Notamacropus eugenii: one gene and its partners. The protein of the gene in region 3 interacts with the protein of the main gene of each other region in a pairwise test. Links are inferred from orthologs where the notes say so. Each region holds a gene or a part of one and is shown on either strand. Other genes may lie near its edges.

The links.
Region 1: the proteins of EIF4ENIF1 (region 3) and EIF4E interact in binary tests that used the Homo sapiens proteins (3 or more experiments, as listed by UniProt). The link is inferred for Notamacropus eugenii from reciprocal best matches to the Homo sapiens genes EIF4ENIF1 and EIF4E.
Region 2: the proteins of EIF4ENIF1 (region 3) and EFHC1 interact in binary tests that used the Homo sapiens proteins (3 or more experiments, as listed by UniProt). The two-hybrid records come from large-scale screens. The link is inferred for Notamacropus eugenii from reciprocal best matches to the Homo sapiens genes EIF4ENIF1 and EFHC1.
Region 4: the proteins of EIF4ENIF1 (region 3) and EIF4E2 interact in binary tests that used the Homo sapiens proteins (3 or more experiments, as listed by UniProt). The two-hybrid records come from large-scale screens. The link is inferred for Notamacropus eugenii from reciprocal best matches to the Homo sapiens genes EIF4ENIF1 and EIF4E2.

The regions. Positions count from the first base shown.
Region 1 is NC_092878.1:136,684,961-136,692,466, reverse strand, and holds the start of EIF4E (eukaryotic translation initiation factor 4E), read left to right. Parts: upstream 1-4,477; 5' UTR 4,478-4,636; coding exon 4,637-4,654; intron 4,655-5,053; exon of another isoform or gene 5,054-5,155; intron 5,156-5,460; exon of another isoform or gene 5,461-5,541; intron 5,542-7,506. UniProt on the Homo sapiens protein: Acts in the cytoplasm to initiate and regulate protein synthesis and is required in the nucleus for export of a subset of mRNAs from the nucleus to the cytoplasm which promotes processes such as RNA capping, processing and splicing.
Region 2 is NC_092873.1:118,739,225-118,746,795, reverse strand, and holds the start of EFHC1 (EF-hand domain-containing protein 1), read right to left. Parts: upstream 3,127-7,571; 5' UTR 3,007-3,126; coding exon 2,944-3,006; intron 1-2,943. UniProt on the Homo sapiens protein: Microtubule inner protein (MIP) part of the dynein-decorated doublet microtubules (DMTs) in cilia axoneme, which is required for motile cilia beating.
Region 3 is NC_092875.1:13,630,527-13,638,421, forward strand, and holds the start of EIF4ENIF1 (eukaryotic translation initiation factor 4E transporter), read left to right. Parts: upstream 1-4,448; 5' UTR 4,449-4,582; intron 4,583-5,218; exon of another isoform or gene 5,219-5,236; intron 5,237-5,962; 5' UTR 5,963-5,993; coding exon 5,994-6,089; intron 6,090-7,895. UniProt on the Homo sapiens protein: EIF4E-binding protein that regulates translation and stability of mRNAs in processing bodies (P-bodies). Plays a key role in P-bodies to coordinate the storage of translationally inactive mRNAs in the cytoplasm and prevent their degradation.
Region 4 is NC_092873.1:57,581,087-57,588,498, reverse strand, and holds the start of EIF4E2 (eukaryotic translation initiation factor 4E type 2), read left to right. Parts: upstream 1-4,360; 5' UTR 4,361-4,571; coding exon 4,572-4,591; intron 4,592-4,860; exon of another isoform or gene 4,861-5,140; intron 5,141-7,412. UniProt on the Homo sapiens protein: Recognizes and binds the 7-methylguanosine-containing mRNA cap during an early step in the initiation. Acts as a repressor of translation initiation.

The DNA of each region.
Region 1 (7,506 bases), on a different chromosome or scaffold from region 3:
AGGTACTTACATAACCTCGCTCTGCCTCCTGCCACTCCCAGCCTTATTTCATGTTAGTCTCCCTTTATAAAATCTGCCGAAATGTACTCCAAACTTGACATTCCAGGTTTTCTCTCATGCCTTTGTACAAATTCTGTGTCTGGAATGTCATTCTTCCTCATGTCTGGGGCCACTGATGTGCAAAGCCTTTTCTGAGACCCTTAGTTGCTAAGTGTTCTCCCCCTACTTGGTTATCTTATTTTCTTAACGTTGGGTCTCTTTTGTGTGTGAGTTGGACTAGAGAGCCAATAAACATACATCTCTCAAATAGGCTATATATCCAGATGAATATAAAATCTTCATGAGAAATAATATTTTGTTTCTTGTCACTGCTTAGAATAATGTATTTTTTTAAGCACTGCTTTTAGTAAGTACTTAGTTGTTGAATTCAAAGCCACAGAATTTCAGAACTGGAAGGGCCTTCAAACGCAGTCACCACTGATCCAACCCATCCATATCTGGAAAAAAAAATCCCCAATACAACATACCTGACAGAGATCATTCAACTTTTGTTTGAAGATTTCAGGTAAGGGGTGTGTGTGTGTGTGTATATGGGGGAGGGAGGGAACTGGGCTCTTCTCTCAATTCCACTTCTGGTTGGCTCTCATTGTCAAGTTTTTCTGTACCAAAAGCCAACATGTCTTTTTATAATTTTCATGGGTTGCTCCTAGTTCTGTCTCTGAACAAACCTAATCTTTCCACGACAGCCTTTCAAATACTCAATAGTTGCCATGCCCTTACCCTGTCTTCTATTCTCCAAGCAGATATCCCTACCTTTTTTCAAATAACCTTTCAGTGTCTTAGTTGCCCTTTCTCTGAACCCTCATTTATTCAAGGAGAATGATGAAAGGGGAAAAAGACTTCAGCCACAGTCAGAGGTCCTGAGTTCAGCTGTCAGCTCTAGGTCTTACTACCCCTTGTGCAGCTGGGCAAGTCACATCTTCTCTGGTCCTCACTTTCCTCATATGTAAAATAAGGGGGCTAGACTAAGCATTCTCCAAGGTCTCTCTCAGTTCTTTTATGTAGGACTCTATGTAGTTGCCATGCCCTTACCCTGTCTTCTATTCTCCAAGCAGATATCCCTACCTTTTTTCAAATAACCTTTCAGTGTCTTAGTTGCCCTTTCTCTGAACCCTCATTTATTCAAGGAGAATGATGAAAGGGGAAAAAGACTTCAGCCACAGTCAGAGGTCCTGAGTTCAGCTGTCAGCTCTAGGTCTTACTACCCCTTGTGCAGCTGGGCAAGTCACATCTTCTCTGGTCCTCACTTTCCTCATATGTAAAATAAGGGGGCTAGACTAAGCATTCTCCAAGGTCTCTCTCAGTTCTTTTATGTAGGACTCTATGCTATGTTCTGCCTAAAATGTCATGCCCAGAACTGAACACAATCCCTGCAGATGTGATCTGAACAGGGCAGAGCGCAGTGAAACAATCACCCTCTTACTCACATACCTGTCTTCATGCATCTTAAGAATGATTTAGCTTCTTGGCTGCCACATGTCATTGCTAATTGCTACTAACTGAATCTGTAGTTAAATAAATTCCCTAGTTCTTTTTCACATGAATTGCTGTCTGGCCACACTTCCCCATGTCTTGTATTTGTGGGACTTTTTCAACATGTGTAACACTTTACATTTATTCCTATTGTTTCATATTATTAAGTCTCAATCCAGTGTTCTAGCCCATCAAGGTCTTTTGGAATCCTGAATGTCATCCAATGTGTATTCCTCCACCTTGGTATCAGCTATGAATTTGACAAACATGTCAACCTGGTCTTTATCCAAAATGCTGCTAAAAATTCCTGGGGCATACCATTGAAGATTTCCTCCTGAAATAACTTAAAGCCATTAATGCTGACTCTTGGGGCTCAGCCATCAACCAGCTATAAATTCTTCTGTATTTTGTCATATAGCTTACACCTCTCCATCTTTCCACCAGAACAACATGCCAAATCCTTTGCTAAAACTTTTGCACTGCCCTATTTTAACAGCTTAATAACCCTGACAAAAAAAGGAAATGAGGTTAGTCTGGCATGACCTGTTTTTGATGATGCCATGCTGACTCTTTGGGATCACTCCTTCCTCTTAGAGATGAATTTAAAGATGTTTGAAATAAATTAAGAAACTGATCTAAGTGAACAATCTTAGATTCCTTTCAGCCACAATATTCCAACTGATCTATTGTTTTTGAAATTGTTCACAACTTTTATATAAAAGGACTTAGTTACCTAATACCAGTCAGGGAGTAAGCAAGATCTAGTTAGAAATGCTGGATATTCCCTTAGAAAATCTTTAGAAACTACCTCCAGAATAAGCATTATCTTTACTCTTACGGAGCAACACAGTAGCAGATACAGTCCATCAAATTGTGAGCACTTCGTCAAGGCTTCTAGGAATGCCTAACCCGTATTATCTTGTTTTTGTTTGGAGGTACCAAAAGAAAATTGGTAAATCAACGTGTTTGAATATCCACTCTGACAGAGACTGATAAGGAAGATGCTACTAGGGGAACAAAATAAATAGGCATGAACTGTTTTTTTGCAAACTTTACAATCCACTGAAATTATTTTAAATTTATGAAAGATGAGATGAAAAATACACCCAAGAAAACACTCAAACTAAACAAATCCAGCTGTAAAATGCTTGGTATATACATAAATATCAGGAAGGTGCTGGAGTGATTAGAAATCGATCTTTTTTCTCAAGAACTCAATTTTTTTTTCCCATAATGCAAACAGGATCTGGATTCAAGGAAGGAAATGATTAACAAGGTTAGTCTTTGTAAAAAAAAAAACTTTATTATGTGAACTGATTTAAATTTTATGGGTAGGGGACTTCCATTTCTGCTTCACTTTTCCTCTGGTTCCTGCAATAAAGTCTGGTATTATGGAAACAGCCTTAAGAATTTTGCAAGAAGGTAGTCTGATGGTGGCCACTATTAAGAAGAAAATACCAGTAAAATCAAAAGTTTTTGACTATTTTAAGCAAGAATGGTATTTTCTATAGAGATATCTTTTTTATCCTCTTTAATTTTGTCGGAATTCTTGTCTAATACATCTATACAAAATAAAAGTCTGTTACATTCATTACCTTGGGCACTCAAAGTCAATCTATAGACGAAAAGATGATGACCTTGAGGCCCACGGGCAGCCCCAATGATGTGCAAGCCAATTCAGCTTCCATTATGCACTCAACAATAGGTATGACACTGCCTCGGACATCAGCTTCAGTAACAGCAGGCAGGTATATGCCATAGTGGTAACTTTCTGAGACGACATTCTTCAAGGCATGGGAAATAGTGGCGGGGGGGAGTTCCTCAAAGGGCCCTCTTGGTAGCGCATTACCAGACTTCTTTTTCTGTACCAGTTTTATTAATAAACAGACCATGTGCAATAGCACCGACCTGGAACATTCTAGGTACTGAGCAGAGGGGAGGGGGTCCAGGGTGACACATCGCCCAGGGCTGGGGGCGGATTTCAACGCAGTCCCCGTCAATTTCAGTGAAACTGACCATCTGCCGGAGGGAATTTACCTGGGAGGGGGTTGGGAGTGGGCTTTTTTTTTATGGGGGGGATTCATGATTAGCCGGCCCACCCGGAGAGGTGGTTAGGCGAGGCCGCAGCTACTGCCCCTCTCGGGCCGGGAACCCCACCCCCCAGGCCGGGGCGGCCGCGCGCCCTTGTGAGGTAAGGCAGCTTTGAGACCGCAGGCGGGAAAAGCCCAGGCCCCCGCGAGGCAGTCACTGGCCGGGGGCCCGGGCTCATTGTTTGCCAGGCCCCGCCAGCCCCGGCCGTCAGTCCGGCGCTGGGTGACCAGGGCCGCCGGGTGCTGCTCCGGGGGGGGGGACTGGCCTCAGGCGCCTGACGCGGCTGGACACCGAGCACCGAACGCCGGGCCTCCGAAGGCCCACTCCCGCCCCCGCTGCTAGGGCCCACTCCGGGCAGGCATGGCCGGGAGGCGCCAGCGCTAGCCGCGTCCCGGCCCCGCGCCGTCCCGCCGGCCGCTCGTCCCCGCTGCTCCTTTCCGTTCACTAATAAATAGAGAAGAGAATGAAGGCGGCCGTGAGGACCAGGGTGGCGGGAGGAACCAACGACGCCAAGTGAAGGCGGCCCCGGGAGCCTTGCGGAGGCGCCCAGCCAATGAGGTTTCTTCCTGTGAGCTGAGCCCACGGGGATGATGGGAAGCCGGGGGACGGCGGCGCACCGACGGCTCTAACGCGGAGGAAGAACGCAAGACGGAGGAGACCCCCTCCCGCCGCAGCCTCACTTTCGCAACCGGACCGAGCCCCACCTCTGCCTCACCTTCCTAGCCCCACTCACCCGCCCGCAGCTCAGCGCCGCACCGCCTCCGTAGCCACGTGATCAGTCCTCTTCCCAGCCTTCCTCCTCACTTAAGGGGAGGGGAGGGAGAGGGGGAAAAAAAGACTCCACTTCCCAGAAGCCCTCGGTTACCCACGCACCCGCCACCTTGCGCAGGCGCTGCCCGAGCCAAACGGACACGCTCGTCACGTGGGGGGCGACCGGCCAATCCGGTTTGAATTTCATTTTTTTACTCTTACCCCCCCTTCAGGAGCGGTTGTCTGATCAGATCGATCTAAGATGGCGACTGTGGAACCGGTGAGTGTTGCCTTCGGCCCCCCCACCCCCTACCGGGTCCCCGCGCCCGGTTCCCCTGGGGCCTGGGAGACTCCGCGGGACTGCGCTCCCGGCGCGCACGCAAACTCCTCGCCGCCCCCTCCCCCTCTGTCGGGCGCTGACCTCCCGGCGACTGCGGTGACTGGGGGCGCCGGGGAGGCGGCTGCGGCGTGTAGCGCACACATTCTAGTGGGGGCAGGCGAGACGAGAGAAGAGGTGGGGGAGGGGCGGCGGGGAGCCAGCGGCGGTGTGAGCGCGAGGTGCCCGGATGGGGGAGGAGGGAGGGAGGGAGGAGGGCTAGGGGCCGGGTGGGGAAGTTGCGGGACACGGGGCCGGGGCCCGAGCTGGGGGGGGGGGGGGGCAGGCGGTGGGATCGGGGCTCTCCGGTCGGGGCTGGTGGCGAGCGCGTGGGGCGAGGAGTACGGCGAGGGTCGGCGGCGGCGCCACCGGCCGTCGTGGGGACGTGCGCCGGCGGTCCGCGAGGTGAATGTCGGGGGTTGGTGGGGCGGGCGGCGGCACGCGCGGAGGGCCTGCACCACGCCGGCCGCCGGGGCGCGGGGAGCGCGCGCGAGCGAGCCGCCGGCCGGGGTTGGGGGGCACGGGGGGCCGAGGGCGGGGGGCGGCTCCGCCTGGCGGTGCGCGACCGCGGCCCGGGGGAGCCGGGGCGGGAGCACCTTGCGTGCCCTCCTGGGCGCCGGCCCGGACTGTGCGGGAGGAGCGATGGCGAGGGGCGGGGGCCGGGCCGGGCCGGCTTCGGACTGCCCTCGGCCCTCCATTCATTCATCCTTGCCCCCGGTGTGCGCATTGCGCATGCCTTGGACAGTGGGAAGAGGCCCGAGTCTTCGATCCCTCCGAGGCCAGATGGATTGGTAAATTGACCCCGTTGGGCGGAACTTGTGACGAACTGGGGCTTTTATTTCTCGCCGGTCTCTCTTCCCTCCCGGTCGGGTCCAGACAGCCGCAGCTTAGACCGGGAGAAGCAGACAGACCTAGGGTAGGCAGTGCCCTGCACTCCCCAAAGGGGGCTGGAACATGTGTCCCTTGGTGGGGCTTACCATCTGCCCTTCTGGCCGAGGCCTCCAAAGCCCCTACGTGGCAGTTTTAAATCTATAAAACACCCAGACTCCGAAGCACCTCGATGACACTTGAACTGAATGAACAGTTTCATAGCAAATGACTTGAAATCTTAATAATTCCTTCAGAACTTTTTCCTTTTACAGTTAGCAGTTCTCTCCATTTCATTGAGGAATTCTTTCCTTAGTTCCCCACCCCTAGTTGTGTTCATAGGGACCATACATTTCTGCCGTGCTTGTTATGTCCTTAGAAAAGTAGTTACAGTTGTGAAAAGTACTTTGATCATTCAGCCTTCTGGTTTTTTTTTTCCGGTGATTGAAAAACTTACCCGACCTGTGTAGTCTCATTAAAGTTGCTTTTTTATACACACATATATGTGATTTAAATAGAGCTCGTTTTATATATGAGGTCCAGAGATGTTAAAAACTATGACCTATTAAGTATTTGAGCCAAAATCTTCATCAACTCCAAATTCAATGCTTTTCCTAGTATACCTTATTACTTTGTTCTGGGCCTTCTTACGGAATGATTCCCCCAGACTTGCACAAAGTAGGTTTTTTAAATTACTTCTGCACTTACATTGATTTTTTTGATAAAGGGTTGATAAAGGGTTTGTACAAATGTTGGGGAATAAATTTGTTAGCTTTAGAACTCTTAAGGTTCTGCTACAAAAAGAGGGCAGGATATTTAATTTTACATACGAACAAAGCATTAACTTTTAAAATATTTGCAGGTCTTTAAGTCTATGTCAAATTGAACCTTGTGTAGCGTTCACTATACAAGTTTACCCCTGGAACCAAGTTAGTAGTAGTAGGAGTAAAGTAAAATAACTTTTAAAACAGTAGTGTAGTTCCACAAAGAATTCTTAATATTTGGGGATTTTCAAAACTATACAGTATTGCTTTGATTACCACATAGCCAGTACTAACTCAGACAACAGATTAAACAGTTCTGGATTGCATTCTACCAGATACCAGCCTATAATTTGAAAAACTAGCATGTTGATTCAGGTGGCTTGGGAGTCTTACAATGAGCATTTACTACCATGATTTCTTTTTACCTGTCCTTTTTTCAAGTAGGTATTTAGAAAGCTGCTATGTATCTGGAATCATTTGAGTTTTGATACTGCTTTTGTAACATTTGATCTTGTGGAAATAGATACATCAAAAAATATGTAACCTTTTGGTTTAGGATTTACAAAATACCAATGTGTTGGATATAGTGTTTTTAACTCTGAAACAAACTTATTAATATCTAAATATTTGAGAACAATTTGAGAACAATTTCAAGTTTTATCTAATGACTCAGTAAAGTGTGTAATTAAAATGTAGGTTGCTTTATTCTCATTCTTGTTCTTTGAACTTAATTTCAAACCAAAAACTTCTTTTTCCTAGACTACTAGGTAATTTTAAAAAAAGTTTTACAAATAAGTATGTTCACCTGGTTTCAGTTTGGCTTGGTTTGGTTTAGTAATGATGCAACCTGCATCTCTTAGCTCTGTAAACAGAAGTGTAGTTTGAATCAGACTTGATTATAATGTTTTATAGGAAAACAGCTTTTGTATAGATATCTTAAATTCATCATGATTAAATCTTAAGCTAGCATTTTGTATTCTTAATGATTCAGCTACTCCTGAGGCTAAGGTCCCTGTCTCTTGGACACAGAATATGTAAAACTTTCTTTTTCAGTTTTCCTTTGTGAAAAGAGAACATTTTATTTTCTCATTTCTTGAGAGTTTTTCTGTCAAAGTGAATTATTTG
Region 2 (7,571 bases), on a different chromosome or scaffold from region 3:
CTTTTCTGTACATTTCCACTAATGGCCCACAATACTGCAAATAGGACCTCACATTACTTTGATTCACTGCATCGTCATTGGTACCACTTAAATTATTGGTTTGAGTGCATAGTGCTAACAGTTCATTCTGTTTAGGTGACAGCAATGGATACAGCAGAAAGCCATTGCCTGATAAGTCACTCAAATTGCCTGCCTCTAAGAATGGCCACAGGCTCATATGCAAAAAACTTTCAACTCATTACTAAGTACTAACTCACCATCCCCAGCAAATTTTTAGCATCATTTTCAAATTGCAGAAAATTCAACTTGCATCTAATTCTGAAGGTCAAAGATGATCAACACAAGCAAGGACTTCACAATTTCCCTATAATCACAATGAACAAGGGGAGGGAATCCCATAATTTTTATTCCCTCACCAAATCTGACATCTAAGTGCAATACAAGAGAAATACATCGCCATTTTGTGCCATTGAATACAAAGCATTTCATGCACTTGGAAAACTCAAATGTAAAGTATGTACACTTTTGGCTCCTTCTGTGCAATCTGCTTGCTAAATGGCAAAAGAGACCTTCCAGGAAACAAAAACCCACCAATTAACTTGGTCAAGCAAAACTGGAAATTTAGAAAGGAAGCAACTAGTCTGCTATAGGAAGAGGAGATTCTGTCAGACAGTTTGATGTGAAGGTATAAGTGGATCAGGGATGGGGTCGGTATCTTGACTGGGGTAGAGGAAGGGACACACTGACAAATGGGGAAGGATAACATAGGGAGGAAGGGAAAAGAAAGTTCAAAGAGTATAAGAAATGTTGATGAAGAAGGAGATTTTAACATTAGTATACAACCAGTCAGATTAGTTTTCATCAGAGTGATTACTTTTTCCCCCTCTTTTACAGCTTTGCTTGACCAAGTCAATTGGTGAACTTTGTTTCCTGAAGGTCTCTTTTGCCTTTAAGCAAGTTGTAGATGGATGGGGCTGGGAGAAGACAGCTAGAGTTAGTAAGATGGAATGAGGCTAGCAGTCCGAAGGAAGAGGCATGGTAACTCACATTTTCTATCATGAATGCTTAAAGATTTACAAAGTGCATGTCTGTCAACAATCCTGTGAAGAAAGTGCTATATGTATTTAATCATCTCATTTTACAGGTGAAAGCACTAACAGAGGTTGGTAGGAAAGACTTGGAAAGGGGGCTTAGGTGGGGTGAAGACTTGGAGAGGCAGAGTTATAAAAATAATAGCTACCATTCATAATATGGGTTTACTAATTATTTCTCTCAAAACAACTTATTGAAGTAAGTACAACAATTACCGTTATCCCAGAGTACCTACCTCCTGGTTAGCCTATGGAGAAAAGAAAACTTAGCACCCTATCTAAGATAGGTAGCTGTTTTCAAGTATTTGAAGGTCTATGACCTGGAAGAGATATTGTATTTTTTCCATTTGGTCCTAGAAGGCAGAAGTAGGAGAAATGATGGATGTAGTGAGAAACAGACTTAGTCTTGATGTAAGGGAAAGCTTCCTAACAACTAGACCTATTCACAAGTGGAATGGGCTGCCTCAGGAATTAGTGGGTCCCCTCTCACTGGAGGTCTTCATGTGGAGGCTGGATGCTGAAGACGCCATAGAGAAGATTCTTGTTTAGATGTAATGGGTGCTTCCATCCCCTAGATTCTGTGATCCCCATTTTACAGCTGAGGAAACTGAAGCTCAGATGGGTTAAGGGATGTCACTTTGTGGCATTGCTAGAAAGGATGAGAAGCAGGATTTAAATCCAGATCACTCCACAGTCCAGCTTGTGCTCTTTATACTGTACCACTGGTGGAGAGGGCAGGCAAGGAATGGAGATGGAGATAAGAGAAGAGGTAGAGGATCTCAGAGACAGAGTTGGAAGGAAGAGAGATGGACGTGGGAGAAGAGAGATACAGGAATAGGCTAGGAATAGAGGGAGAGGAAGCAACAGAGTTGGACCTGGGATGAGGAAGAATGGAGTTTTGAGGAAAAAGAACAAGGTTGAGACTTAGGAGGGCTATGGGATAGGCTCAAATGAGAATTTATATAAATACCTTTACAAAAGGCTGTGTAAATGTCAATTATTAGTGTTAATGGATGGGGGAACGAAGATGGGAAAGAGGGAAGAAGCTAGGAAATAGGGATGGGGTTGAGGGAAAGAATGCACTGAATGGGAATGCATGGAGAAAGGGCTGCTGCTGGAAGAAGGAATGGGAATGAAGCCGGGAACTGCAGCTGGGGGGTAGAGATGGACCTCGGGGCTGGAAGATGTTCTGGATGGGAAGGGAAAGGTGTGGGAGATGGTTCTGGGAGAAGGGATGGGGGTCTGTAGAGAGAGCTGACTTTAGGCTACGAAAAAAGATGGGAGTTGGAGGAAGAGGGTTGAGGTTGGGGGGTGGGGGTGGAGTAGGAGATTGACCTGAGAGAACGGATGGGAGTTGGTAGAGAGGACTGAGGCTGGGGGTAAGCCTCGAGAGAAAAGATGAAGCCTATTTTGAATTTTATATCATGTTTCAGGGTATTCTCAATTTGAGAGGAGAGGACTGGAGGGGGAAGGAGATCGGTCTGAAAGAAGGGAAAAAAGTGGGGCTGAGGGCTGCATCTAGATGGTCGTGGGAGGATAAGATTGATTGGGGGAGAAGTCTACAGCTAGAGGTGGGAGACAGGTTGGGAGAAGGGATGGGTGGCGCAGAAAAAGACTTGGAGGAGGGATGCAGCTTGGGTAAAGGGAGGTGGAGCTGGAAGAAGGATAACGTCGGCAGCTGGAGGGGGAAGGTGGAGCTGGAAGCTGGGCTGGGCTGGAGAGGTACAGGGAATGGGCTGTGGGAGGCAAAGAATTGGGACTGGGCCCAGCTGGGGATGCTAGCTGCCCTTAGAAAAGGTGAGGAGTGGGAGTAGGCGTGCCGAGGCCCAGCTGGAGCTGGGCTGTTCCTCACCCTGGGGTCGCTGAAGGAGAAACCCGGCAGGAGGGGCAGCCCGTGCACAGGCTTGGACATCATCGCCACAGCCGCTGCCGCCTTCTAGAGCCCAGCTTCTGTCTATCCCGTTGCCCTGGCGACTGGAACTCGCACGAGGGCTGTGCAACCATGGCAACGCCAAACATTCGCAGGGCACTGAACAGTAGCAGACAGAACGGGGAATGACGTATCTGCGCCTGTGCATTCCGGTGGTGGCGTCCTCTTTGCACCCTTGTGAACCCCTTGAATAGGCGACCTTGCAGCAGTATGAGAGTGTTTTCTGATGCTGGATGCTCCGCACCAGTGACAGCATGGTGGGGTGGGGGGTGGGGGGATGGCCTTCTGCACGGAATTATGACATTTAGAGGAGTTGGATTTCCTTTCTTTTCTTTTTTAAAATTTTGATTATGAACTTAATAAGCTGTAAACATTTCAGTACACAAAGAAGAAAAGCAGAGAATTGTATGGGACACAATGAACTTCTGTTACGCAGTTTAAGAGTGTAGTAAATTTAGAATAGTAATGACAAAATTTCCCTGTTTGACTTGGTTCATTTTTTTTTTTAAGTTTTATTGATGTGTTTTGGTTTTACATTTACAGATCACTCCCACTCAGTGAGAGGCCTCCATAACAAAGAAATACAGTTAATTACACTAATAAAATAGTGACTTCATCTAAGTGTGCACATTTCACATCTGTAGCACTACCACCCCCATTAAAAAAAAATATTTTCTCTAAAAAAGAAAAATTTATTATGACAAATATGCATAGTCAAGTAAAATAAATTCCTTCAATGGTATACACAATATAGATGTAGATATAATTATATCTCATTTGGCATCCTAAATCTGTCACCTCTCTGTAATGAATAAACATTTCATCACGTGTCCCCTGGAATCATTAAGGGTCATTGTATTGATCATAATACAGCTTTCAAGGTTGAGCTTTACAGCGTTCTCACACAAAATTGTTCTCCTGGTTCCACTCATTTCATTATCAGTTTATTAAGTCCTCAAAATTGTTTTTGTAATTGTGATGTTATAAGTTGTCCTGGTGCTGCTTCCTTTATTCTGCATTAATTCATAAAAGTTTTTCTATGTCTCTTGAAATCATATATTTCCTCATTTTGTTCAACACAGCAGTATTCCATCATGGTGATCTATCACAATATATTCAGCCATTTCCACAGTTAATGGACTTCTTAGTTTCTATTAAATATTTTTGTTTATATATAAAAGTTATTTTCTTCTTTCTTTGATCTCTTTTGGGTATAGACCTAGAAGTGGTATAGCTGGGTCAAAAGGCAATCAATAGCTTTTCCCTCTGTCTCCCACTCCCATCCCACCTTTCCTTTTTGCTTCCTGTTACTAACTCCACATTCTTTTCTATCACAGCATTTCTGAAATGTGGCAAAAAGTTTAAGAAGCCCTGCTCTATTATAACTTTTCTTAAGAAGTGATGATGATAAAACAGCATTAAGTTTGTTGCCTTTTAAGTTTACCCATATTGTGTTGCAAACAACCACTAATACAATCTTTTCCCCATCTGTGAGAGTATCTACATGTTCACAGGTGACAAAACCTGAAGTCAAAAAAAATTTATCTCTAATGTTGATATTTGAAGGCATCAACCAACCATGGGGTAAAGGATGAGACTTTGTCCAGGGTTCCTGAAATTATATGAGTAGGTGAAGGCATATGTATTCTGCCTGTTTCTCATGTTATCCTGAGGTAATTGTCCTGCCTTTTTTTTTCTGAGCAAGAGGTTTGTTACCAAGTTGTGCACCTATATTTTTAAATGGTATTTGGGGCAGTTTCAACCTGTTGTTCTTAATCTCCCAGAAAAGGGGGGTGGGGAAAGAGAAGAAATTACTCTCTAAACTAGAGCACAGTGGGTTTTCAGTTGAATGAGAACTAAATTCCTGATGGTGAAAATTGATTTTGTGACTGGCTACTGAGGGAGGTTGATGGATGCTGTTTCACATTGGCTAGGTTGGAGGAAGGAGAGAAGGACCTTGTGGCGAATAGATTTTGATCTTGTCTGATCCACTTAATAACCTATTACACTCTTAAGTACACAATCAATAAATAGCATTTATTGATTGTGTACTATACATACATACATACACACATATACAAAATAAATAAGAAACAGATGTTAAGTATTGGAGGTAAGTGGGAGGGAGATTCAGGAGCAGGGAGGATCAGGAAAAGCTTCTTGCAGAAACTGATTCATAAGCTGAGATTTGAAGGAAACTACATATTCTAAGAGACAATGGTAAGCATGGAGACAAAAAAATGGAGTCCTTTATAATGAAGAATAAGAAGGCTAGTTTGGCTAGTCTAGGGTACCAGAATGAAAGTAATATATAATGAGACAAGAAAGATACTTTGGAGCCGGGTTGTAAAGGGTTTTAAACTCCAGAGGAGTTTATGTTTGATCCTAAGGCAAGGGTTGTTAACATTTTTTGTGTTCATCATGGACCCCTTTAGCGGTCTGGGGAAGCCTATAGACTCCTCATAATGTTTCTAAATGCATAAAATGAAATACATGAAAGTATAAAATATACAATTATGTTAAAATACAGTTATCAAAAAATTTTGTACCAAAAAAACCTCACAGATTTCAGATTTAGGGCCATTGTCCAAGAGGTAAATAAATAAACTGAACTTTATTGAAAAGAGGATTGACATGGTCAGTGCTATCCTTCTGGCATAACACTTTGGTAGCTGTGTGCCAGATGGATTGGAGAGAGAAGAGACTTGAGGGAAGGAGACCTATTAGGAGTCTACTGAGCAGGGAGGGGGGAGTTGAGAGAATAAGCATTTATATAGCATCTCCTATGTGTCACAGGTAATGAGGGTTTGTGAGTAGGGAGTGTGTGAGTGAGTGAGGACCTCTGAGTAGGAAGAAGAGGTTGTATGTTTGAGATATTGCGGATGAAGAAGCAACAAGTTTAGGCAAATGATTGATATGTAGGTTAGGAGAGAGTGAGAAATTGTGGATAACACGGAGGTGGCCAACCTAGTAATGGGAAAGATGGTGATTCCCCCTTTCTCTTCTACTACACTGCTTTTGGATTTCATTGGACCTTTCTACCATGCCTTCCCTTTTCAGGGTTTTCATTATCCTGAAAGATTGAATCTGCCTGGTACTCACATTTTTTGGCCCCTCTAATTGGACACTCTTGGCTATAGGTCAAGGCCATAGGCTGTAAGGCTTTTATTTAAGAAAAGGGTTCAATGTATTCTTCTCCCTATTTCCCACCAGCTACACTGCTTTTGGTGCTTTTGGACTTCTCTGGACTTCTCCTTCATTCCCCAGCACCTGGGTACCTCCCCTCCCTCCTCTTCTCCCTGTCATCTTCCTTTTGTGTGTTTTGGACATACTAAATTTGAGTTATCTGTGGGACATCTATGTCCAAAAGGCAGTCAGTGTTTTGGGACTGGAACTCATGAGAGAAACCAGGTCAACCTCAGGAAGATGTACATTCAAGGCTTGGGAGATAGTCTGCGTAAAGTTATAGAGATGTCAGATGGAATGTCATTTAAAGGAAACACCAAACATGGTAATTTCACAAGAATGTAGAATATGTGTAGGATGATAATATGCACTAAACCTAAAAAGGTAGGCTGGAACCAGATTGTGAAGGGCTTGAAAAGCCAAACACAGGAGTTTGTTTTTTATATTATATGCAAGAGGTAGCCATGGGTATTTCTTGAACAGGAGAGTAACCAGGTCAGACCTGTGTTTAAATTTCATATCCAGGTCCTCAACTCCAAATCTAGTAACTTATTAACTTTGTATGTTATAAATCTTAAACAGTTTTACTGCCCTCCTCCAAGGAATTAGAAATCACCCCATAAATGGGTAGGGCACAAGGTATGCCACTTCATTAAGACTTTTGGTAGATTCTTTAGTCTGTTCCTTGGCTAATTAGGGAGAAAGTGGAGGCAGAGCCTGGAAAGGGTGAGTCATCCTCATGGTCGTTATCCATTGTGGCACTGTCTTCTATTTAAGGAATGACCTATGTTCAGATAACTTTCCCCTCCAGAGAACAACGTGCTATTTAAATAGTTAACCGAGTGCTCTCTTATCATTGTGTGAAAGCAGAAACTAAGTCGAGGGCAAATGTGTGGAACTGGTGAATCTGGATAAGTTTTTGTAGAGACTGAAGTCAACCAAATGTGAGAACAAATTGGGATGAGAGACAGGATAATGTCTACAGGTCTGAAAGAATAGGGCAGGGCTTGGGAAAACTGTAGAAGCATTTGGTGTGATACATGATTTACTCCTACTTGTCCTCACTCCAGGACATTGATACAAAAAGTGTTTCAATACTTGATCACTGGTTGACCCTATCACCTGTACCCACCATTTCCTATCAATAGCAATGACCAAAGACAGGGTAAGAAATCCAAGATACTTCACAACTGTTGGTGGCAATATCTAAGTAATGACCTAATATCATGGATTTAGAGTTGAAAACAGACCTTAGAGACTATCAGGTTCAATCCTTTCATTTTATATGTGAGGATACTGGCACAAGATAGTGGCACATAGATTCAGACCTGGAAGGGACCCATGTCTGACCCCATTTACAGATG
Region 3 (7,895 bases):
ACTCCAGCTCTCCATCTATGACTGAGTTGCCAGGCACCATCAAGATAACCCCCACTCCCAAACACCAGGGACCAATCAAGAGTAGTTCTATCATCCCAGCAAGGCACATGTCCCACCAGAGGCCAGAGGGCATGTCCAGCTCCATGGGATGTGGTTGAACATAGTAATCCCTTTGCTACCCTCCAATAACAGAATGCAACAGAGATTTGCAAACAAAGTGAGTGTGTGTGTGTGTGTCCCAAAGCCCATTGGTATGGAGCTCTCTCTACTTGTGGAGATCAATGTACCAAGTCTGCCTGAGAGGTGGGATGGAATTGGTAAGACCCAGAGAAAAGAAGGCTTTAGGTTTCCTTTGAACCACCGAGTATCCAGACTTTGGGTGCTTCTAGTTTCTAGCTTCAAGAGAAAAGAGGCAGGAGGTCAATCCCTCTTCAAGTTATTGAAGGAAAAGACTCTGGGAAAATATGAGAGGAACCAGTAATCCCCATCATGTCCCCATCCCTAGCTTGCTTCTCACAAGAATGGATGGAATAAAGGCCTCAGAGAGGGCATGCTCATGACCCCAAGCTGGGAGGGATGATGACGACATAGTGAGCAGTCAGAGAGATCCTTACAGGCTAAAGTCCTGGGCTGCATCTAATAAGATAGCATCTAATAAGATAAAATTCAAAGGGATAAATGCAAAGTCTTCTACAGAGTCCAAAAAATCAATTTCACAAGTGTAGGCTAGAGGAAGCATGGTTAGATATAGCACTGTGAAATCCTAGGATCTGAAGAGAACTTAAAAGTCACAGAACCTTAGATTTTAATCTTGAAGACACCTTGGCAGTCACCTATTCCAACCTCCTCATTTTATAGATGAGGAAACAGAAGCTCAGGGATCTGCCCAGACTGTAAAGTTGTAAGTGGCAGAGCAGGAATTCCAAGCTAGTTTTTCTGACTCATGTTCAGCCGCTTTCTACCTCACCCTGCTGCCTCCACCCAGGTCCCTTGTCTTAACTATCTTTCTTTGTTAGTAGCAAGAGTTCAATTTGGCGTACGGCAAAGGGAGGCATTTCCAAAAATGATTGGCATGTAAAACACAAAACCTAAAACTTATTTTTAAAAAAGAAGCATGTATTATAATATATCATAAATATAGATGGAATAATATAAACATAATGAACGTAATATATAATGATATAAAATATTATATATTAAAAGATCTTTTCCTGTAAAACGCAAAACCTATTTTAATTGGTTTAAAGGACAGGGGAAATTGAGAGAAAGAAAAGATGGAGAGGCATGATAGCTGTCTTCAAGTACCTGAAAGGGGACCAGACCAGTTCTGTCTGACCCCAGAGGACAGAACAAGGAATGATGGGAAGGAAAGAAATAGCAACAATTAGACACCTATTATTTGCAGGCACTGTGCTAAGAGCTTTTGAAATATCACCTCGTTGGATCCTCACAACAGGTCTATGAGGAGGGGACTGTTATTATTCTTATTTTATAGAGGAGGAAAATGAGACATCCCTTCTTTTTTACAATATAATACTGATCCATGTCATTCACATACCATGATTTGTTCAACTATTCTCCAGTTAATGAGCATTCCTTTAATTTCCAAATTTTTCCATTACTAAAAGAGCGGCCATAAACATATTTGTACCCATGAGTCCTTCCCTCTTTCTTCGATTTCTTTGGGGGAAGGGGAGTACAGACCTAGTAGAAGTTGTTATGTTTGTCCTTCCCTCTCGAAGAGGACCATGACATCCAGATGATGACATGACTTGCAGTTGACTTTGATTTGCGTGAGGGAGGGCTGTGCAAGGTCACTAGTCTCATTTTCTCCTCTAGAGCCATCTGGGTCCAGTGGCCTGATATTCATCAGGACAACTGGAGATGGCCCAGGATGCGATGGGAGACCCTGACCCTTTCAGGCTAAGGTCTTATCACATTCTCACTTGGAGTGTGATACACCCATTCTATGAATAGTCTTCTTTAAGTAGTTACTCAAGGGAAGGCTCCTTTACTTTAAAAAAAAAAATCAAACTGAGAGGGGAAGACCCTCAGGGTCCCCAGGTAAAAGAGAAGGTATCAATAGTTCAGAGTATACACAGTTCCATAGCTTTTTAGGCATAGTTTCAAATTTCTTTTCAGAGTATTGGACTAATCCAGGTCTCTACCCACAGTGCATTAATGAGCCTGTTTTCTTCCAGCCCCTCCAGCATGTACTTACCCCCTTATTTTTATTTGGGAAGGTGTCCATTTTTACCAGTCTGAGGGGTGTTAGATGAACCTCAGAGCTGCTTTAATTTGCATGTCCCTAATTATCAGCACCTGAGAGCATGGGGGTCGTTAAGGCACAGCTTTTGAACCACCACAGCTGCCTCCACATGTCAGAGATGATTACATCACGAGTTCCTATGGGGAGAGGGGGAAAGGTGTGGGCTGGAGCTGCTTTAACAGGCTTCAGAGAGCAGATTGTTAACATTTTCTGGGGGAGCATTTACACCTGGGAAATTGGCACTGGATTGGCACATCCTCTTCAATCATTTTTTCTGGAGAGCCTGTCCTTAAAACATTTGCCAGGATATGGCTGCCAGAATCCCTCTCCATGGACAAGTAGGTGGAGCAGTGGATAGAAAGCTGGGTGTGGAGTCAGAAAGACTTGAGTTCAAATCCAGCTTCAGACTTTTACTAGCTGTGTGACCCTGGACAAGTCACTTTTCCCATTTGTTTCCATTTCCTTAATTGTAAAATTAGGATAATAACGATAAATAATACTAATCTCACAGTACTATTGTGAGGATCCAGCGAGGTATTTGGAAAACACATACAGTGGGTGCTGCATAAATCCTCAGTCCCTTCCCTCATCCATGGACAGGTCTGAACAGAGGGAGGGTATATTAGAGGGAGGGTGCAGCTGAAGACCTGGGTTCAGATGAAGCCACTCGGATGCCCTGGGCCTTGGTTTCCTCATTGTCTACAGGAGGGCGCTGGCCCAAGCCCGTAGTAGGTGCTTCCTGACCCTGACCCCAAATCCCAGCAAGAATCCCCCCTTCTCCGGGAGGGCCCCCTCCTCCGGGAAGGCCTCCCTCCTCATTTCCTATTTATCCTGGATTCGTGTTTCCCCCTCCCATTGGATTGGAAGCTCCCTGAGGCCTCTTTTTGTATCCCCAGCTCCTGGCATACAGGAGGTGCTTAATAAATGCTGATTGAATGGAATTGTGGGAGGGGAAGGTGTTTGGGATTCCCCTCTCCCAGAAGGCCCAAGCTGCTTCCTTTTCCTGGCATCTGGCACACAGTCGGCATTTAATAAATGCTTGTGGAAGGAATGCCCGTCCTGGCAGGTGGACTTTAGACCAAGAGATACCAAGGTGTAAACCCAGGGGCCTAATAAATGGTGACGATTTCCACCCACTGCTGACACTAAGTCAAGCACCGTTCCACGTGGACGCTTTGGGCCTCGGTTGCCCACTCTGTAACACGAGGGAACTGGACAGGATCCAGTGCGATCGAATGCAGCAGGCATTAGGCGCCTGCTGTAAGCACTCAGAAGCCGGGAGGTTTGGCCAGACATCAGGCCTCCGGCTCCTCCCTCCTCCCCCTCCCCCTCCCCCTCCCTTTCCGGCGCCAGTCCCCGGGCGCGTGCACAAGCGGACGCCAGGACTGACGCCCGGCAGCACTCGCCACGAGGCCGCGCGCGCGCCCGAGGCCCGACCAGAGAACCGCCCCCCCCACGCCGCGCGCTCTCGGCCCTGGGGCCTGCCCTCGCCGAACGCCTGAGGGGCCATCGCCCCCTCTCCCATTCACTCTCCAACCATAGCTGGACGGGCGCCTTCATTCCCCGCTTGTGATGTCTACTTTTGAAGTCTGCCCCCTGAGGGGTGGGCAGTTCGCCAAAGAGCGCGAGTCCTCCTGCTCAGGGCTAGTCTTCTCTCATTTTATTTTGAAAGACTTGCATTTTCCACTCAGGCACCTCCGAGGTCACCTTCTATTGGGGGGGGGGGGGGGGGGGGGGGGTTGAGCCGTGGCGGCGCAGGCGCAGAAGCCGGTGCGTGGAGGGAGTTATTAAAGGGGCGGGGAAAAGGGGCGGAGTGAAGGCCCCAGTTACGGCGGCTGAGGGGAGACAGATCCAGAGCGCAGGAAAAGAAACCAGCGAAGCGAATAGGCGCTCGGGGTCGGGGAGGGTGGGGCGGGAGTAGGGCCAGGCCCGAAGAGCGTCTGGGGGAGGGGCAGCCGGGCTCGAGAGCGCGCGCGCGGGGCTGCGCGAGGCGGCGGCGCTGCGGCTGCGCGGAGGCTCACGGCCGGCTCGAGGCGGCCCTCACTCCTCGGACCTCCGTGCGCACGCGCCGTCGCGCTCACGCTCGCTCGGGGCGCGAGGCGCAGCCAGGCGGGCCGGAGAGCGAGCGGGCGGGCCGGGGGGCAGCCGCGGGGGCCGAAGCCGAGGAGGGCCGGGCGAGCACAGGGCGGCAGCACGGCGGCCGTGACGGTGGCGGCGGCGGCGGCGCCGGGGCCGGGGCCTGGGCCGAGCCCGGCCCGAGGCGCTGCTGAGGGGCTCCTCTCGTCGTCCCTGCCCGCCTCCCTCTTCCGCACGGTGAGTGCGCGGCCCGGCCCCCGGGAGGAGGGGCCTCCGGCCCGGCGTCCGGCTCGGCCCCGCCGGGGGCTCCTGCCGCGGGAGGGCCCAGGGGGCGGGGTGGGCAGCGGGCCCCCTCCGCCGCCCGAGCTAGGCCTCTGGTGCTGGCGGCGAGGGCGGGGTCGCCTCGGGGCCCGCGGAGGGGAAGCCCGGGGTTTCCAGCCCGGGAAGTGCCGGGCTGGGGGGAGGGGCTGTCCTGCCGCTGCTTGGGGAGCGCAGTCCGGAGAAACTGAGGCCGCCAGAGCGGGGCCCTCTGACGGGCCGGGGCGGGAGGCGTCCAGCGGGGCCTCGTGTGCGTGTGTCCGTGTGTCCGTCTGCCGTGTCCGGGGCCCAGGTCCTGCCCCCACAGCGGGGGGCACGGGCGCCGCGGCTCTGGTCCCGACTGGCCTCGCAGCGAGCCCTGGTTGTGGTTCGTGCTGATGCGGGGAAAGTTTTCTCAGGCTCGCCTCCTCCCCCTCCCCCGTGGAAGTCCCCTGCCGCCCTGCGTGGCACACCCTGTGTGCCTAGCCCGGTGCTGCGGGCTGGCCTTTCCTCCGTGTGCTCAGTCCTCGGGAGCCTCCAGACCAGGGACGTCCGTCTGTGAGCGCAGCAGCCGAGCGAGCCCCCCGTCCTCGGGTCCGCTCAGGGCGGGCGCGCTGCCCCCCTGCGCCTCTGCCCCCCCTGCACGCTGCCCCCCTGCCCACCTGCGTGCTGCCCCCCCTGCCCCCCTGCGTGCTGCCCCCCCTGCCCCCCTGCGTGCTGCCCACCTGCCCCCTGCCCCCCTGCGCGCTGCCCCCCTGCGCGCTGCCCCCCTGCGCGCTGCCCCCCTGCGCGCTGTCCTCCTGCGTGCTGCCCCCCTGCGTGCTGCCCCCCTGCCCCCCTGCGCGCTGCCCCCCTGCGTGCTGCCCCCCTGCCCCCCTGCGTGCTGCCCCCCCTGCCCCCCTGCGTGCTGCCCACCTGCCCCCTGCCCCCCTGCGCGCTGCCCCCCTGCGCGCTGTCCTCCTGCGCCGCTGCCCCCCTGCGTGCTGCCCACCTGCGCCGCTGCCCCCCTGCGCGCTGCCCCCCCTGCGCGCTGTCCTCCTGCGTGCTGCCCCCCTGCGTGCTGCCCCCCTGCCCCCCTGCGCGCTGCCCCCCTGCCCCCCTGCGTGCTGCCCCCTGCGCGCTGCCCCCTGCGTGCTGCCCCCCTGCGTGCTGCCCCCCTGCCCCCCTGCGTGCTGCCCACCTGCCCTCCTGCGTGCTGCCCCCCTGCCCCCCTGCGCGCTGCCCCCCTGCCCCCCTGCGTGCTGCCCCCTGCGCGCTGCCCCCTGCGTGCTGCCCCCCTGCCCCCCTGCGCCTCCGCCCTGACCTGCGCTGTCCTTGCAGGTGCACCGAGCCAGGGACCCCCCCCGGCGCCATGGATAGAAGGGCCGTGGGAGAAGCGGAGAACGGGGACGCCTTCCCGGACCCGAAGAAGCCGCCGGCCTCCAGGTCCCCGCACCGCTACACGAAGGTAGGCTTGGCCGCCTCCTCCCTCCGCTCCCAGGTGTGTCCGGCCTGGCTCGGACCGCGCCGTGTCCTGGAGGGGAGGCTGGCAGGCCGATGCCCGCTGTTGATTGGCGGTGCCGGCAGGTTCCGCAAACGTTCTCCTCTCGTAAGGGCTAAGGCCTGAGCTTTGGGAGACGCGGGTCCTGCGCGGTAGGAGCGGCTTCTTGGGAGGTGACGACACCCTTTCCGAAGGCTCGTCCAGACCGCTTGGGCCGCGGAGGCTGGCTCTTTTCTCTTTTCCTTGTTTTTCCTGGCGGTCGGAGTTAGGTGCGGGAAACGTCTAAAAACGTTTTTGTAGTTGTCAAAGTATCGCAGATGGGTGAGGGAAGGGTTTTAGAAAATGTTGTGGTGGCTCCTGGTGAAAGATCTTGTAGCACGTTGGTAATTCTTACCGTTATCCTTGCCGCCTTTCCTGGGTAAAATAACTTTGCTCCGGCTTTATTTTCAAACAGCACATGGGGGTGGGGGGGTTGCCAGGTGGATCCAAGGAGGCGGACAGGACTCCGTGACAATTCTCTCGTGTTGCCTGTGGAGCCCACAGGAGGTACCAGTGTTGGTGAGAATATCTAGCGCTTCAAAACACATCCTGTCTCTGTGTTGTTGGAAGAAATTCTCTTCTTCGCAAGATTAGCTGTGATTTAGAGTTAAGGGATCTGTTGAAAGTGGGTGAAGTTCAAGTGAGGACCAGTGTAGAGCTCCAGAGCAGCACCGTGGCCTGGTGAGCAGCATATGGCCAGGTCTCCTCTGTGGATGCTGATGCTGCTCCTTGAGCTTGGATATTTACCCTTGCTTTCAGCCCCTCACGCACCATATCCCCTCCTGTCTTGAAAAGTTAGCATACAAATAGTGTTCTTCATTATACCCTTTGGTTTTTATTTGTGGATCTTTTTATATTCCTGGAAACTGGGCCAATAAAACCATATTTGCTAAGTCTTTGTTATTTAGCAAGTTGTTTTGAAAAATACAAAGGAGGGGCAGCTAGATGGCACAGTGGTTAGAGCACTGGCTCTGGGGTCAGCAGGATCTGAGTTCAAATCTAGCCATGTACCCTGGGCAAGCCACTCAACCCCAATCACCTCCCCATCTCCCCCTCCCCCCCAGAGACAGATACAAAGGATTTAGTTGAACAGGAGTGGTAAAATCATGTTCTTAGTTGAATTTTCCCTCTTGCAAGCTTGTTGACTTGATAAGGACCCATTTTGGTAGCTTTGAAAATGCCTTTCTGATGGCTTCATTTTTTAGTTTATCACCTATAGGTCTGTTGGTTTTAGTCATGTTTCAGAAGCTTGTTACACACTGATAATGGAGGGGGGGGGTGACTTCTCCATATGTAAAAATTTGTACCGAAGGAAATTGGTTTTGAAATATTGAAGTATTAGTTGGGAGTAACAGTTGGGGTTGATCTAGCAAGCACTTCAGGGCTAGAAAGCGCTTGACTTGCCTGCGTACGTCACAAGATTGTTTGAAGAGAGATGACAGGATGACTTACTCATAGAAGAAGTATCGGAGCAGAGCCTGGGGGGTCAGGGCTCTCTGTCATGATTTCAACTGCCTCCCAGCTGCAAAGAGTTTACTTCTAGGACCCCAGGTCTGGCTAGAAGATGATTGTGCCACATTTCAGAAGCATTGTTAAGTTCTTTTTTGAGTGGACGCAGGAGGTGAAACATTAAGATCCATGATCCCTTCATCCTCCTGACCCTGCCAATCCCTCATTGCATCATCTGAAGTGTGTCCTTAGAGCACTGAGTTTTAGACACTGCAGAAGTAGGTT
Region 4 (7,412 bases), on a different chromosome or scaffold from region 3:
GTTCTCTGGGGCCTAGTTTCTTATTAAAGGAAGGAGTCTTTGATGATGACTCTCTACACAGAAGAGGCCAAGGACCTGAGTTTGAATCTCAGCTCTCTCCACTTACTCACTGTGTGGCTTTGGACAAGTCACTTGTCCTCTGTGAGACTCTGTTTTCTCCTCAGTAAATGGAGGGTGTTGGACCAGCTCTTCATGGTCCTGGGCAGGCTCTTCTGGGGGTCCATGACCTTCCTCCCATGCTCACAAAGGAAGCCTGAGATCTTTGCCTCTCCCTAGTTGGGCCCAAGATCTCTTCTTCAAAAGCCCAAATCCTAAGTTCTGTAAGATGGAGCCAGCATCACTCTAGGATAGAGTCCCCATGCTCCCCTGCATAATGGCCTGGGGGAGGAGGGGGCACAGTCCCTGCTGATGACATTTCTTGTCATCTGGCTACACCACCCTCTCTAGATAACTTGATTGCAGTTATCTACTTGTTAGAGACCAGCCAAATAAGAGTAGATACGACAGAAGGAGGCTAGGAGATGACCAGAAGACAAGAGAATCCAGGGGATGGGGAGGATTGGAAGGAGGTCCTCAGTCCCCTTAGGTTTGGGCTGGCTGTGTCTGCAGGTGAGAGACCACACACAAGTCTAGACAGGTAGAGAAGCTTGTCCTTGGCTTAGCTTTGTCTTTGTGCCCCTCTTCCTGCAACGCACCGCCCCCCCCCAACCTCCCATAGTCCTCTCCAGGGAAGGCTGGCAGTTTGGGAACTAATGGACACATAGCCTTTCCATGAATGCCATGGGCCAGGCTTCAGAGAATGTAGTCAGGAGACAGCGGAAATGCTAGCAGTAAGTTGGGTTGAAGTCTTTCACAGACACCAAAGCACCAGGCCAAGAAGTTAGCTTAAGCCAGAGAGTGTTCCCCTGATGCAAGGGCCCTGGGCCATGTCTGATGCAACTTGACACCTAGAGCAAACTCTGCTGTTGATAAATGCCTTCTAACCATGATTCTATGGAAGGGCATAGACAGGTGTCTGTTCTGAGAAACCGATCGCCCCTAGGCTGTTGTTGATCTGAGGAATGAGGCAAGAGACAAACACTGAGTTCTAAACTGGCCTCGGATATTAGCTGTGTAACCCTGGGCAAGTGACTTAAAAAAAAAAAATTCTCTCTGCCTCAGTTTCCCCAGCTGTAAAATTGCAATAATGATCTCACCTACCTCCAGGGATCAAATAAGATAATAACTCTGAGGTGCTTTGTATGGTGTCTGGGATAGAGTAAGAGCTAATTGCTACCTATTACTATTGTTTAAAAAGCTATTTTTAAAGCCTCCTTTTTATTAAACCGAAAGTACAGTGGAGTGGGGAGAGGGAAGGAGGGAGAGGGAGAGAGAGAGAGAGAAGGGAGGAAAGGAAGAAAGAGGAGGGGGAGAGAAAGAAAGAGAGTGGAGGGGGAGAGAAAGAGAGAGACAGACAGACAAAGAGACAGAGAAATGGGGAGAGAGAGACACAGAGACAGACAGAGACAGAGGGAGAGACAGACGGACAGACAGACAGAGACAGAGACCAAGAGCTGCAGGAGAAGCAGAGAGAAGCACTTGGCAGCCCCAAGGGAAGGCTGTGCATCTGGTGCATGCCATACAGTTGGAGCCCAGGGGATGTCCAAGGTGGGCCCAGGCCACAATTGCTTCTTACGTGCCTGCTTCTCCTTGTTGGTTTCTTATGTGTCCGTTCACCTGCCTGTGCTCAGCTGGCTCTCACTTCTGTCTTCAGCTGGCCATCTCTTACCTCGCTTTCACTTTATTCTACTTTTCTGCGGCTGAAAATGCCAGCCTCCATGCAGGGTCGCCTTATAAGCAACAATCCATCTCTAATATGATTTTAATCTCAAAAATTCTAACTTTTTGTCAGGTTATGATTCCGCAATCCTTATATGATTTTCCCATGGTACCCTGACTAGTTATTTAATTTATAATTTCTCAGTTATAATCTCTTAAAAGTCTAAAAACAGTCACATGCAAATGAGCCAATGGACCACAATGCCCTGTAGTCATCAGTACCTCAGTTAGTGCTGTGCCTAAATACATGTTAACTATCATTATGTTGATGGTTATAGTATCTTTATTATTATAGCTATTTTGAAAGCCCTGGTTTGTTTGTTTTTAAGCCAAAAGTATGGTGCAAAGAGAGTGAGCCTTGTTTCCAAGGGTCACAGCTGGAAGCAGAGAGAAACGTCTGATTTTCAACAGGTTCATTTATCCTTCCAGTTTCATAGACTCTCATCCTAGGTGTCATCCTCATTTTCTCACATCCCACAACCAATCTGTTGCCAGATCTGTCAATATCACCTTTGCAATATCTCTCTAATATACTCCCTTCTCTCCTCTGATACTGTCAGAAATCTGGTGCAATATCTTCTCACTCATGTCTTCTGGCTGATCACTAAAAGTGAACACACCTGTGGGGGCCCCAGCTACAATTTTAAGTAAATGCAAATCCATAGGCTTAACAGCTCTGTGAGTTGGGATTGAGCCCAGATATTACAGAATAAATTTGAAAGTGGAAGGAACCTTAAAAGTTATGTATTACCATTCCATCATTTCAAAGATGAGAAAACCGAGGCTCAGAAAAGTTGAGGGACTTGCCCAAAGTCACAGAGGCAGGGAGTCTAACCCAGGTCCTTTGACTCTGAATCTGAAATTTTCCACACTCACTGCCTTTCTTCAGTATCTGGCTCATGGTCTCAAGCCCAACTCCTGCTGACATACTCAAGGACTCCAATGTGTGTGTTGTTTCCCCTCAGACACCCTGGCCTCCTCCTTCTAAGGGGTGCTCATACTTTTGATCTTACTGTCATCCAGAACTGGTTTACCTTCGTGATCTAGAACTCAGAAGTTCCTTTCTCTGACCACAACTTCCACGTATCCATGTGACTCATTCCTCTTTACTCCATCTGGCCTCATGCTTCTCCTCTGAAGTCTTCAGACTAGAATTAAACAGCTCAGCTATCACCTGACCTCTACATGGAATTTCCTTGTCCCTTTCTCCTACCAGTACCATTCATTTTCTCTGTTCCTTGTGGCCAACGGAGGAGGTCATCCAACCTTGCCTTACTGGGTCCATTACAGATTTATGTGACCTGATCTCAACTGGGCCCTGAGACAATCTTTTTATTTTGATCTGTTGCTTTTCTCAAAACTTCCCTTTTTTTTCTCAAGTCTTATAAATCTCTCCTTGTCCAAACTTGGTCATCAAAAGACTTGGCCTCCTACTTAGGTATTCACAATAACCCTAACTGTGTCCTACCCTCTCCCCAAACCCTTGCTCTAAGCATCCCTTATCTCCTCCTCCTTCCCTTTGGATTCTGAGGACCATGTGTCTGTCTCCTAGGCAAAGCCAAACTTTACCCTTGTGTACTGGATCCCATCCCCATCATACTCCTTCAGAAGCAGAACCTGTCCTTGCTGTTTTCAGTTTCCTATCCGAAGACCCCAAGCCTAAACTCTTGACCTTCCCTTAGCATCCCCTCAAGCCAATGCCCCACATTTCTTTTCTCTTTCACAATTAAACTGCTAGAAAAGACTGGAAGGTATCGCAAGGTGAAAGATCATAGATTTTAGAGCTGGAAGGGACTGTAGACACCACAATCATTGATCGATAAGTATTTATTAAGTACCTACTGTATACCCTGCTCTGTATAAGCACCAGGTAGATGAAAAGAGGCAGATGGTCCCTGCCCTCCAGGAGCTCCCAATCTAAAGGTGGAGACACATATAAGCAAATGTATATAAAGGAACACATGGGATAAATAGGAGGTGATGGGGGCGGGCCAAAAGGAGGCCGGGGAGGTCAGTGGTCAGAGCAGAGGGGCGTGTTGCAGGCCTGGGGGATGGCCAGAGAGATGCCCAGAGCCCAGAGGGAGGGTCCGGGGGCAGCTGCAAGGGTGGGGGGGCTTGGAAGCCAAACAAAGCCCCCGTATTGGATGCTGGAGACGAAGGGGGCGCCTGGGCTTTGCCGAGGAGGGGGTGGCATGTGCAGAGCCGAGCTTTGGGGAAGTGACTGCCCCCCAGCCTCAGTTTCCCCCTCTGTGAAATGGAGGGGTTGGATTGGAGGGGTCTCAAGCCCCTCTCCTGGGGCCTCCGTTTCCCCGTCTGTAAGCTGAGGGGGTTGGACCCGCGACCTCTTGCCCCTTGTCTTCCCTGGCCTCAGTTTCCTCTTCTGTAAGGAGGAGAGCGGACTGAACGGCGCCCGGCCCCCCCACCTCCTTCTCCACGCCCCGCGTAGGGGCGGGAATGTCGTCAGCTCTGCCCCGCCCCCTTTCGCTCCGCCCTCAGCCGTGGTCAGGAGGAGGAGCCGGCTCGCCCCCGCCCAGCCCAGCACTGCGCAGGCGCCTCGCTCGGTCCTGCCCCCAGCCCCAACCCCGCCTTCCCGAAGAGGCGCTCGCTCCGCTCCCCCCCCACCTCGGCCGGGGGCTCGCGCGCTGTGCTTCCGGCTGTACGCAGCGCCACCGGAAGTATCCGGGGGGACCGAGGCCGAGGGACTCGGCGGAGCGGAAGTCAGCGAGTGAGACGACGGCGGCGGCGGTGAGAGGATGAACAACAAGTTCGACGCGTGAGTGGCGTGGCGCGCGGCCCTAACCGCCGCCCCGGGCCCGGGCCCGGCCTGAGCCTGAGCCCGCCCCCGCCGGGGCCCGCCCGGGACCGAGGCCGGGGCCGGGGACCCCCGGGCGGGGGAAGGGAGGCCCCGGGCTGGGGCGGGAGGCGGGAGGGGGGGCAGAGCCGGGGCGCCCACCCCGTCGCTCCCCCGCGTCGGCGCGCATGACTTAGCGCTGGGGGTGCCTGGCGGGGCGGTCGTGCGGTGCAGCGGCGAGGGCGCTGGGTGTGGAGCCCAAGGACCTGGGTTCGAATCCTGACCCTGCCACGACCCTCTGTGACCTTGCGCAAGTCCCTTCTCTGGGCCTCAGTTTACCTTTTCTTACTTAGTCGCGGGGTGGAAGCTGTCCGAGGGCAGCCCCCAAGGCCCCCAGCGCGCCCTCCGCGTGCCAGACAGGTGGGGTGCATCCCGTACACAGTAGGCGCCTACTGTTTGGGGGCCGGGCCCCTGCCCTCCGGGAACTTCCATTCTGCGGGGCCTGGGGCTTTTCCAGCCAGTGTTGAAGAGGTAAAAGCCAGACGGAAAGCTGGGCGATGGGGGGGGGGCCAGGAAGTGTCCTGCAACCACGTGCGGCTCCCCTGTCTTGGAGGGGGCGGGAGTCCGGGACCAGGCCCTGGCACCTTGGGTGACCTTGGCCAAGTCACTGTGCAGGAGGGGCAGGAAGGGCTTGGAGAAGGGGCGAGGACCGGCTCCCGCCTGAGCTGGGCCAGGCTCTCTTTCTGCTGGGTTGGACTCGTGGGGTCCTTTGCCTCCCCAGGCCCGTGGTCTTGTGAGCCCTACAGGAGTTCTCACAGGAGGGGAAGTGACTGGCCCAGAGTCACCCAGCTAGGAAGTAACAGAGCCAAGATAGAAGTCCTGGAAGGGGCCCCAGGCCTCAGGGCTAGCCCCCTCCTTTTACAGATGGGAAAACTGAGACTCAGAGAGGGAAAAGGACTTGGTGAAGACATTGATGAGACCCAAACTCAGATCTCCTGACTAGTACCCTAGCTTCCTTCTTTCCAGGCACAGAAAACACTCCTTGAGAAATTTGTCAAAGTCCACTTCCTTATATCTTCTGTTACTGTTAAGCAGTGCATGTCTCACAAGTAACTGGGTTGCCGAGAGGAAATGTACTTCCAAGGCCTCCACCCTTCTCCCACCGTTCTGTCCTCAGATAGGTTTCTCCTTCACTTTCTTGGAATAATACAGAGCTTTGTTGTAAGATTAGGACACGGTACGGTCGATTCGTAGACGTGTGTGAAGAGAAACTCCAATTTCATGTTGCTAAAGCGGACTTGTTCAGTTACAGGATAAGAGTATTTCTGCTCAGAATCAGGGTTCCTGCATTTTAAGTGTTTGAGGTGGTCCTAGAAGCTGCAATGTATTGTTAACATCACTGGAATCCATGTCCCACGATGGTAGAATTGGCAGCTGAGGACCAGATTTAATAAGATGAAAGAGAAATATAAAGTCTTACATTTGTCTTAAAAAAAAAATCACCCGTACAAGTCCAGAATGGGAGAGGCTCAGTGAACACCCCAATGTCCCAGGCTAAGGAGGCCATGGCTGTCCTCTGCCCTGATCACAGGGCGTCTAAGGGGTGGGTTCAGTCCTGTGCACTGCATCTGGGGAAAGAAACTGGCCAGCTAGAGTGTGTACCCAAGGTGGGGGAGGGGAAGGGCTAGGGGACAGGGGAAAGGGTAGACAAGGAGACTCTGATCACAAGGGGAATGGAAACTGGGTTTTCTAGGGGTTGATTCCAGGGACTGAGAATGTTAAACCCAGAGAAGAGAAGGCAACTGGGAAGGCTTTGGCCAGCTGGCAGGTGGGAGAGGCTTTGTTTTCCTTGGGGTAGGGGTAGAATTAGGAGGATGGAGTAGACCCTGCAGAGGCAGAGTGGAGAGAGTGTCCTCATAGGATGTGGAGGTTTCCCATAAAGACTGAGTACCTCACTGTCACAGATGTTGCTCAACTGAAGGTAGAACCGTGTAGTCAGGCCTCAGCTTCTGTGGTTCCTCAGGAAGGTTTCCTGAGTCAAGTTTTCTTTCATTAGGAAAAGCGTTTGCCCAGTATCTGTGTTTGCTCTCATCTCTGTTTTATCTGTCCAATGCTATGGAGCCCTTCCTGTAGCTCCTGTGTCCTGTTATAGCGCTTACTGTCTGCAGCATTCATCTGGTGCTTTGTCTAGTCACTTGTCACGTCATGTCAGTGGGTCAGCAAGCATTTAGTAAGACAACACAAGAATTACTAGCCATGGATGAGATGTATTTAGAATAATCGGAAGCTGATCTCTTAAGAGAAAGCAGAAGGAGCAAGGAGGGCTCATTGCCCTCTCATCCCCCACTCCTTCCAAGTAGCAAATGCTCAGTGAAGGTTGGTTGATGGTGGGTTCTTATTCAGGGGAGCTGGAACCTGAATTAATCACCTTTTTCTATAATAAATTCATGCATTTAATGCCTCTAACCTAGGGTATAGTTTGAGCATTTCTAGTCTTAGTTGCATTAACCACATACCTCCCTTGAGCTACAGGGCAACAGCCAACAGTGATTTCAGAGCTCCCACTTTGTTGTTGATTTAGAGTACCTTTTGTGCCGAGTCCATTCTCCTTGAGTTAGTCCTTCCTGTCTTTCTCCAGTCCTAGAATTAGTGCCCGATCCTTATGCGTTGAATTGGGAAGGGGGCACCCAGAGGGTTTAGCAGGGCCAGGCTGGAGCCCTGGCATTCTGGGATGATGCACTTTTGATGCCTGTGGTTTGTTCGGGGTCTTCATGTGCGGACATAGGCTTTCTGCTTGGGAGCT